Cricetulus griseus: one gene and its partner. The protein of the gene in region 1 purifies or fractionates together with the protein of each later gene. This does not show direct contact. Links are inferred from orthologs where the notes say so. Each region holds a gene or a part of one and is shown in the gene's direction. Other genes may lie near its edges.

Region 1 (3,648 bases):
ATGCCCCACTGTGGGTTTAGCCCTCTCTAGTGGAAAACAAGTCAGGATTGCTCTGGACAGAAGCCATGACTTGCCTTCTACTGATACACTCTTGTACATAGCAAACAAGAAGCAGTGCAATCCCTGGGTCATGCACATGACCCTTACAGTAGGTAAAGCAGACAGTTGAGGGAATTGACATTTACAAATAAGAAAATGTTTGACAGTCAGTGTCATGCCACTAATAAACTGTAAAACTAGGATGAGAATGCAGCTTTTGATTCTTCATGCATTTATACCTTCTGGTTTATTTAATTCCTTCATCTTATTTAATTTGTACTTTGCTATATTTTTGACATCCTTGTCTTCCTGAAAGCATTTCTAAGCATGAAGACAAAAGTTCTCAGCAATAACCTACCCTTATCAAATGTTTCTAAGCTGGGCATAGTGGCTCGTGCCTGTAATCCCAGCACTCAGGACTCAGAGACAAATGGGTCACTGTGAGTTCAGCATCAACCTGATCTACATAGGGGCAAGTCCAGGCCAGCCAGGGCTACATAGTGAAACCATGTTGAAAAAAATTTTTTCCATCCTAACTTATTAGTGTTGTGTTCTAACTTCATTGCCACTCCATTTTAGTTAGAATTGACATTTTTAAAGTATTTATTGACATCTTGTATACTTCCTATATTTTTATAAAAATGTCTGTAATTTATCTTAAAATATAAGCATAGCTTAATGAATCCATTGGAACTGAATTTAGCAAAACCATTTGTTTTCTTTAAATGTAATATAAAACTTTTCCTGCCAAAGTAAACTTACAAATTATATGTTTCAAACTAATAGGTGTACCAAGCCACTTGAATGTAGATTATATCAAAGAATCATTGATGAAAATAGAAGATGTATATTCTGTGGAAGATTTGAATATCTGGTCTCTCACTTCAGGAAAATCCACTGCCATAGTTCACATGCAGCTAAGTATGTTGATAATGGGGTTCACAGGTGTCTGCTCTTGGAGCCAACATCTGAGCTTGTTATATGTATGAAGACACTTCTGACAAAAAAAAAGACTTAAGGTTGCTGGGTGTTGGTGGTGCACGCCTTTAATCCCAGAACTCGGGAGGCAGAGGCAGGCAGATCTCTATGAGTTCGAGGCCAGCCTGGTCTACACAGCAAGTTCCAGGACAGCCTCCAAAGCTATAGAGAAACCTTGTCTGGAAAAACAAAAAAAAAAAAAAAAAAAAAAAAAAAAAAAAAACAAAACAAAACAAAAAAAAAGACAAGGGAGGGTGAGATTCTTTAAAAGATAAATTGCAGGTCCAAAGGATAACAAAGTCTGGGAAGATTTCTCAGTGGTAGAGCACATGCCCTACCATGCATGAGGCCCTGTGTTCAATTCCCAGAACTCCAAATAAATAAATAATATTATTTAATTTTTTTGTACTTTGAGAAAGATATTACAAATTGATATCTTCCTGAGTTTTAAAGACAGCATATATATATATACTTTTGCTGTGCCATCTTTTATATAATAAAAAGCCAGATTCTTGTTTAAATCATTTCAGAGATTGATGGCTTTTAAAAATGAAAATAATATATGGATTTGGCTCTTTCTTAAGGAATATAAGGTCCTTAAATAAGAGGCTTGTATTCAGCATTCTCTCTGCTGAGCATGGAAAGACTGAGGTCATGAGAAGCCATTCTGGGCTTACACACTGTCTTCTCCAGAAGAAGGGCTTAGATGGGGGAGTCAGACTGATGCACATAGGGTCACAGTATACTGTTGTTTCTTCTCTGTATCTAGTTTACTAATGTATAACAGTGTACAATAGATAATTCAATATTTTCTTGATATTGCAGTTCCTGGAAGTTCATCTAAATGGGAAGAAGTGCAGTCCAAAGCTAAGCATTTATTACTGAACACATTTGGCATGTATAAATGCACTATTCAGCTCCAGAGTTACAGACAAGAAATGAACAGAACTTGTGCAAATTGTCAGAGTTCCAGTACCTGATCCTGTGTACTTGGGGTCTACAGCCTTATTTATCCTGCAGTCACAGACCTGAGAGCAATAAACGCAAACCTAATGGAGTCCCTGACAGCTGTGTCCATGTCAAACATGGTCTCTCATAGTCACTCGGGTCTGACTGATAACTGCATGATTTTCAGATGAAGTGTCCAAAGTACTGTTTACAGAGTGAGCTGTAACTCTGCAGATACCTCATAGAAGACAATCCAAGACCATACTTCATTAATTTGACAGAATACACAAGACGAACAGAAAGACTCAGAATTCAGTATTTGCATCTAAAACTACTTTTTACAGTCCTTTTATATGAAGTCAGTGCTAGCAAGCTCAGTGTTGAATTATTTGGGATTTTTGTCTCTGTATAATCTTGGCATCTAGTTTCTGGAATTGTGTTCCCTTTTTATAAAAATTAGCCCCCCAACAGATTTCAGAAAGTAATAATATCCAGAAAATGGAATAAGCATGTATTCCTAAGTGTTTCATAACTGTTTTATTTCATAAATAACTCTTAATTTTATTATTAGAGTCATACTTTATAAGCAAATTTTCCAGATATTACTGGTTTTGAATCTCAATGTTTTGATTATTTGTAATCTTATCAGAAATATTCACATAATGTGGTCATTGTCATTAAATTATTTAGGAAATTTTTAATATAACTCTGAATGGCAGAGATTAGATTTAACCTCAGATTACCTTACCATATAATGATCTAAAACAGAGGAGCAAGTAGTAGCATGTGAAGTTTTGGATTTCTATCTTCCCTGAAAATCACTTTTGTGCTTTATGTAGAATTATCTTAAGGACAGTAAGAGATGACAAAGCTTCAGCAGTTATCCACTGTCCTTTAAAGAACTGCCAATATTTGTTAGTAACAGTTTCCTTGGTGCCCTGTTCTCATGTGTAATCTGTATGAATCTTTCAGGTTCCTATCGAGGTACCTGAGTTTATTAATGCCTACCATGCAGAGTACCCTGTTACTCGAAAGAGAATTTATGTCTTATGTTATGGTTAGGGGGTTCTCCGTGCATTAGAGATATCCCCAAAGTACAGCCTTGAAGTTTCACAATAATGCCATAGCAGAAAGTTACAGAGGGTTGGGTGGAGAAAGTTCTTTGAGAAAACAAAAGGTGAAGAGTTTTGTTTTGTTTTGTTTTTTTAACTATGTATTGCACAAAATAACTGAAGTAAGAATGGCCATTAAAGCTAAATCTAGGGAAGTGGCATAAATATTTCCAACTAAGGGAACATAATTGGCAGAAGTTTGTTAAGGAGACAGTCGTGAATATTCATATCTGAATATTCAACAGTTGTTTTGAGATGACTTCTTTTCAGCAGAGACACTTTATTTGACTCTTGGCTCCTGAGTGAATCAGAGTGGAGTAACAATGTCCCAAGCAAGTTGTGAACTGAAATCCTAGAAACCCAAATGATGTGTAAATGGCGAGTGGGAAATAGGTGTTATCTTCATACTGCAGACTGTCCCTATGTGTAAAACTAAAATAAGAAAATCTAGATTATTATCCCAACAACCCCTAAAGTTGTTGGGAATTGATAATATCAAAAAAAAAAAAAAAAAGCTGATGTTACCTAATAAAACCCAGGAGTATTTGTTGAGTTCAAAGTTTGCTTTGAA
Region 2 (4,306 bases), on another chromosome or scaffold:
TTGTTTATGACAGCCACAAGTAATGACAGCGGCCAGGCCTCTCCAGAATCAACAAGGACTCTCCCTTGGCGGTCTCCCTTTACGTCCTCTTCCCTCCCATCCCTGTCTTTTAAACCTTTGAGAGTCCTTACTTGGGACAGAGGACACAGAGCACCCCTAGAGCAGTTCCACCTAAGGCCTTTCTCAACTGTAGATCAGCAAGGGGTGTGGAAAGGTGTTTTTTTGTTTGTTTGTTTGTTTGTTTGTTTGCCCCAGGTTGGGTGTTACCCGGGGATGCATGGGGGTGGGGGTTGGGGGAATATTCAGAGCCAAGGACTGCTCCCAGGGGTGCGTGTGTGTGCGCGTATGAGAGAGAGAGAGAGAGAGAGAGAGAGAGAGAGAGAGAGAGAGAGAGAGAGAGAGAGAGAGAGAGAGAGAGAGACTGAGTTAGGCACATTCCAATTTCTGAGGCTCGGGAATGAGGCTAAGATCCTTCATCACCGTGGGTGATGCCTGGCTAGGCTCTTGCCACTGTCCCCACGGCCTCTCAGGTGCCACCAAGTCAGTGTCTCACTTGTCCCTGGGGTATTATGGATGCTCCAGGCCTCACCATTGAAGCCGATCACAGCCTCAAGCTCCAGTTCGGCTACGTCGGTCTCGGTTTCGGGTAAATTTTGTTCTTCCATCTTGGAGAATTTCAACTCATTGATTCCTCAACTCCTGGCTGCAGCGTCTTTTGGTCGTTATGGTAACTGGCGCACGCATGCGTGCTAGGTTTACGCTGGAGCAGAAATCCAGCCCACTGAGTTCGACTTTATTTACCTTTTTGTAAATGTAGGGAGGGCTTCCTTATTATTTTTTTCACTCATTCTAGAAATTTAGGTGTTAGGTGAATACTGAATATGCAGAATGAATTCCCTCGTCTCCCGTGTAAACTCTGACTTTTGTCTTAACTATAAAATTAAGCCTCTTATGGTAACTATTAAAAGTAATTGAACACAGAGAATTGCCTCTGATGCGTAGGCTGCTATTAAAAAACAAAACAAAACAAAACACGGAATTGATACCTCCTTGTAAAAGAATTCTTTTTGAAAAGATCACTTTAAAAATTTAAGTACAGTATGCAACTATTTTCATGTATGTATCACTATGAACGTTGCTTGTATGAATATTTCCGGCTTCAACCTTCCAAGCACGGCAAATTCAGGCGCGAGGTATCACAGCCGGCTTGCTCTGTTGTTTTTGAATCAGAAAAAAAGAAAAAAAAAAAATGCGAAGAACTACGAGAGCCGGAGTCTGAAGCGCTTCCATCCCTGGGAAAAGGTTTTGATTCTGCTCAACAATTTAACCATTTTCCTTGCGTCCAGCAGTTCGTACGAATTAACTAAAAATCGATTGTTGCAATCCACTGTCTCCCAGGGGTGAGCTTTGGTTGGTGTGGTTTTGAGGCCCCTAAAATATGTTTTCTGTGCTGTCCGCTGGGCTCGGGTCGCGCACCTTCCGAACTGCGGGGAATGAGCCGCGCGGGCCGCCGTAGTCAGCTGCTGTGAGCAGGAAGTGTCCCAGCTGCAGGCGGAGACTGCACCATGGCCCCGGACCCCTGGTGAGTTGCTGGTGTTGGCAGTAGTTTGCCGTAGGACTTGGGGTGGAAGTGGCTCCCAGGGATTCGCATAAACCCTGGCCATCGTTGAACTTGAGGCTGTCAGCTTTTAGGGGTGAGCAAAGCGGGTGAGGATCCTTTCCCTGTTTTGGGGACCCAACCACATCCCGCCTCCCCGGCGCTAACTCGGTGGTCGGAGGGGGACACCGTGACCTGGGGGAGCTGGGACTTGAGCAGAATCGATATTTTCCCCCGCCTTCTGTGGGGGCTTCTCGCCTAACCTGCCTGTGGATGACTGCGTGTGTAGACTCCCCTGGGGTCCTGTAAAAGTGAAGTAGAAATAACCTTTTGGTGGGATGTCTCTGCCTTCACCCATTAATCCCCAGAAAGGGAAGAAACTGAGGTTCAGACTCCATGGTCCCCAGCCAGTTAGTAGTTAGCTGGGCATAGGTGTAATGGGCTCTTCACAATAAGACTTGTAGCAATCTGGGAGGGAAGTTTGCACTTGTGATAGGCAGTTTACCCTTTCCTGTGTCAGTATCATGAAGACTTAACGTCAGCAAGAACTAGTGCAAAAGTCAGCACCCGATAAGGGCCATTTATTCAGCAATGAAGCCCCAAGGAAAGAATGAAGAAAATGTGTTCACACAAGGAACACATTGCTATACAGTCTTGACCTTCCTGTTTAATAATTTATAACATTGTATTTCTATAAAGTTCTTGTTGGAGGATATGCCTTATGTGGGTGTTTCTGGTACAGTTTATAATTGTTTGATGGCAGACAATTTTAAGTATTAGGAGAGTGGATCCCAAGGTCAGAGTTAGAGTTACCTGGGATTTGAGATATTTGGGCTAGTTGCTGAAATTTTCTTGGGCTTTCATTTGTTTGTGTGCTTTGTTTCCATTGTCTCAGAGAGCCCAGTCTGACCTTAAATTCCTGATCCTCTTGCTTCAGTCTAAGTGGTTCGATTACATGCAGCCACCATGCCCAGGAAATTGCTGAATTTAACACTTCTTACTCCCCCCCACACACAAGTTTCAACAATTGTGTACACCCCTGGTAGAAAATTTGGAGACTACTGAGTATCTGCAGGAAAGAAAATAAATAGCATCTTCATCATTTGGAAAGAACCAATGTTAACTTCTTTTGAAGACTTTTATTGTTTGAATCTATATCCTGCTTGTATTTTACACAACAGGAAGCGTGTCTCCATATCATTAAGTAGTATTTAAAAATGATTTTTACATGCATATCAGTACATCATCTGAATGTTCATATATTTCAGTTTTTCTCAGTGGTAGAACTTACTACATGCAAGGCTTTGAGTTTGGTCACCAGCAACACAAGAAAGCTTTCAACTGTCAAATGAGAAAGCCACTGAGTAAAACAATTGAGACTAACAGTAAAAGAGTTCTAATGCTTCAGTGTCTTGGGGTAAAATTCCCCTGAGTCAGATCTCATTAGACTACTGTGCCAAGTTCTGTAGAAACTGACCTCTGCTAATCTGTCCTATTTAAATGTACCCTGCTAACAGGGCCAGTACTTGGTCAGGCATGCTTTCTTCAATTCTTCTGTGCTTGTGCTTTCCATGGTGTTTAGATTTCACCCCTCCTTCCAGTATGGAAATCTGCTTTAGTCTGGAAGTCAGCCCAAGATGTCCTCTTGCAGCCCAGCCAATCTGAGCACCTCTGACATCAGTAATGTCTCCCATCCTAACTCCAGAGGTACTTAATTTAGGTCTCGTATTTGATGGAATTGTGTTATGGATTTTATATGTTTGATCTGCCCTTACAGAGCAAGACTAAGCTCCTGTCTTCATAGCTGATAGTGTGAAGGCAAACAAGTAAAATGTGGGGAATCCGGGGCTAGGACTATTTTCCTTATTGCCTCTCTTTTTAAAAAATTTTATATATAAGCCAGGTGGTGGTGGCAAACACCTTATATCCCAGCACTCAGGAGGCAGAGGCAGGCAGATCTGTGTGAGTTTGAGACCAGCCTAGTCTACAAGAGCTAGTTCCAGGACAGCCTCCAAAGCCACAAAGAAATCCTGCCTCCAACACCCCCCCCAAAAAAACATATATAATATATATTAACCACCTGCTCTTTTTCATACACATACCTATACCTGAATATACTGAATGATGCATATTGATGTATATGTGAGTCTAGGGTTAGGGGTGACACTGTCTCTGAAGTGCTTGTGAAGTTCACAACAAAGTTCTCTCTGTAGGACCTGGAGCCACATCCCCAGCCCAAGTTAAACACTTTTCTTCTTTCTGATGCTGGTGATTGAGTCTCGTGCACTGAGCTATGCCTTTATTCACTTTTTAAAAAAGTTTGAGACGTTTCGTTAAGTTACTTCAACCTTACGGTCTGCTCCTTTAAAAGCTTCTCTCTTTGGCTTGTTGGCGTCTCATTTCCCCACCATGGAGTGAGATCCAAGCTGGCCAGCTTGAACAATAAAAACAAACCTTTTGCTTTTGCATCAGTGTCTACTCCTGGGATTGGTATGGGACTCCTTGAACCTGGCACAACATTTTCTTTTCTTCTCTCTCTCTCTCTCTCTCTCTCTCTCTCTCTCTCTCTCTCTCTCTCTCTCTCTCTCTGTGTGTGTGTGTGTGTGTGTGTGTGTAGACCAGGCTGGCCTTGAACTCACAGAACTCTGCCTGCCTCTGCCTCTGCAGTGCTGGCATTAAAGGCCTGTGTCACCACCACACCCAACCAGG

The links. The genes of interacting proteins can lie anywhere in the genome.
Region 2: the proteins of Slc30a4 (region 1) and Stx8 purify together in Homo sapiens (co-immunoprecipitation; 3 studies listed by BioGRID and IntAct, with this or other methods). This does not show direct contact. The link is inferred for Cricetulus griseus from reciprocal best matches to the Homo sapiens genes SLC30A4 and STX8.

Annotation. Positions count from the first base shown.
Region 1 is NC_048599.1:55,840,993-55,844,640, forward strand, and holds part of Slc30a4 (zinc transporter 4), read left to right. Parts: intron 1-825; coding exon 826-960; intron 961-1,842; coding exon 1,843-1,997; 3' UTR 1,998-3,648. UniProt on the Homo sapiens protein: Probable proton-coupled zinc ion antiporter mediating zinc import from cytoplasm potentially into the endocytic compartment. Controls zinc deposition in milk.
Region 2 is NC_048600.1:81,830,580-81,834,885, forward strand, and holds the start of Stx8 (syntaxin-8), read left to right. Parts: upstream 1-1,447; 5' UTR 1,448-1,565; coding exon 1,566-1,582; intron 1,583-4,306. Other genes in the region: Cfap52 (cilia- and flagella-associated protein 52), read right to left, coding at 590-665. UniProt on the Homo sapiens protein: Vesicle trafficking protein that functions in the early secretory pathway, possibly by mediating retrograde transport from cis-Golgi membranes to the ER.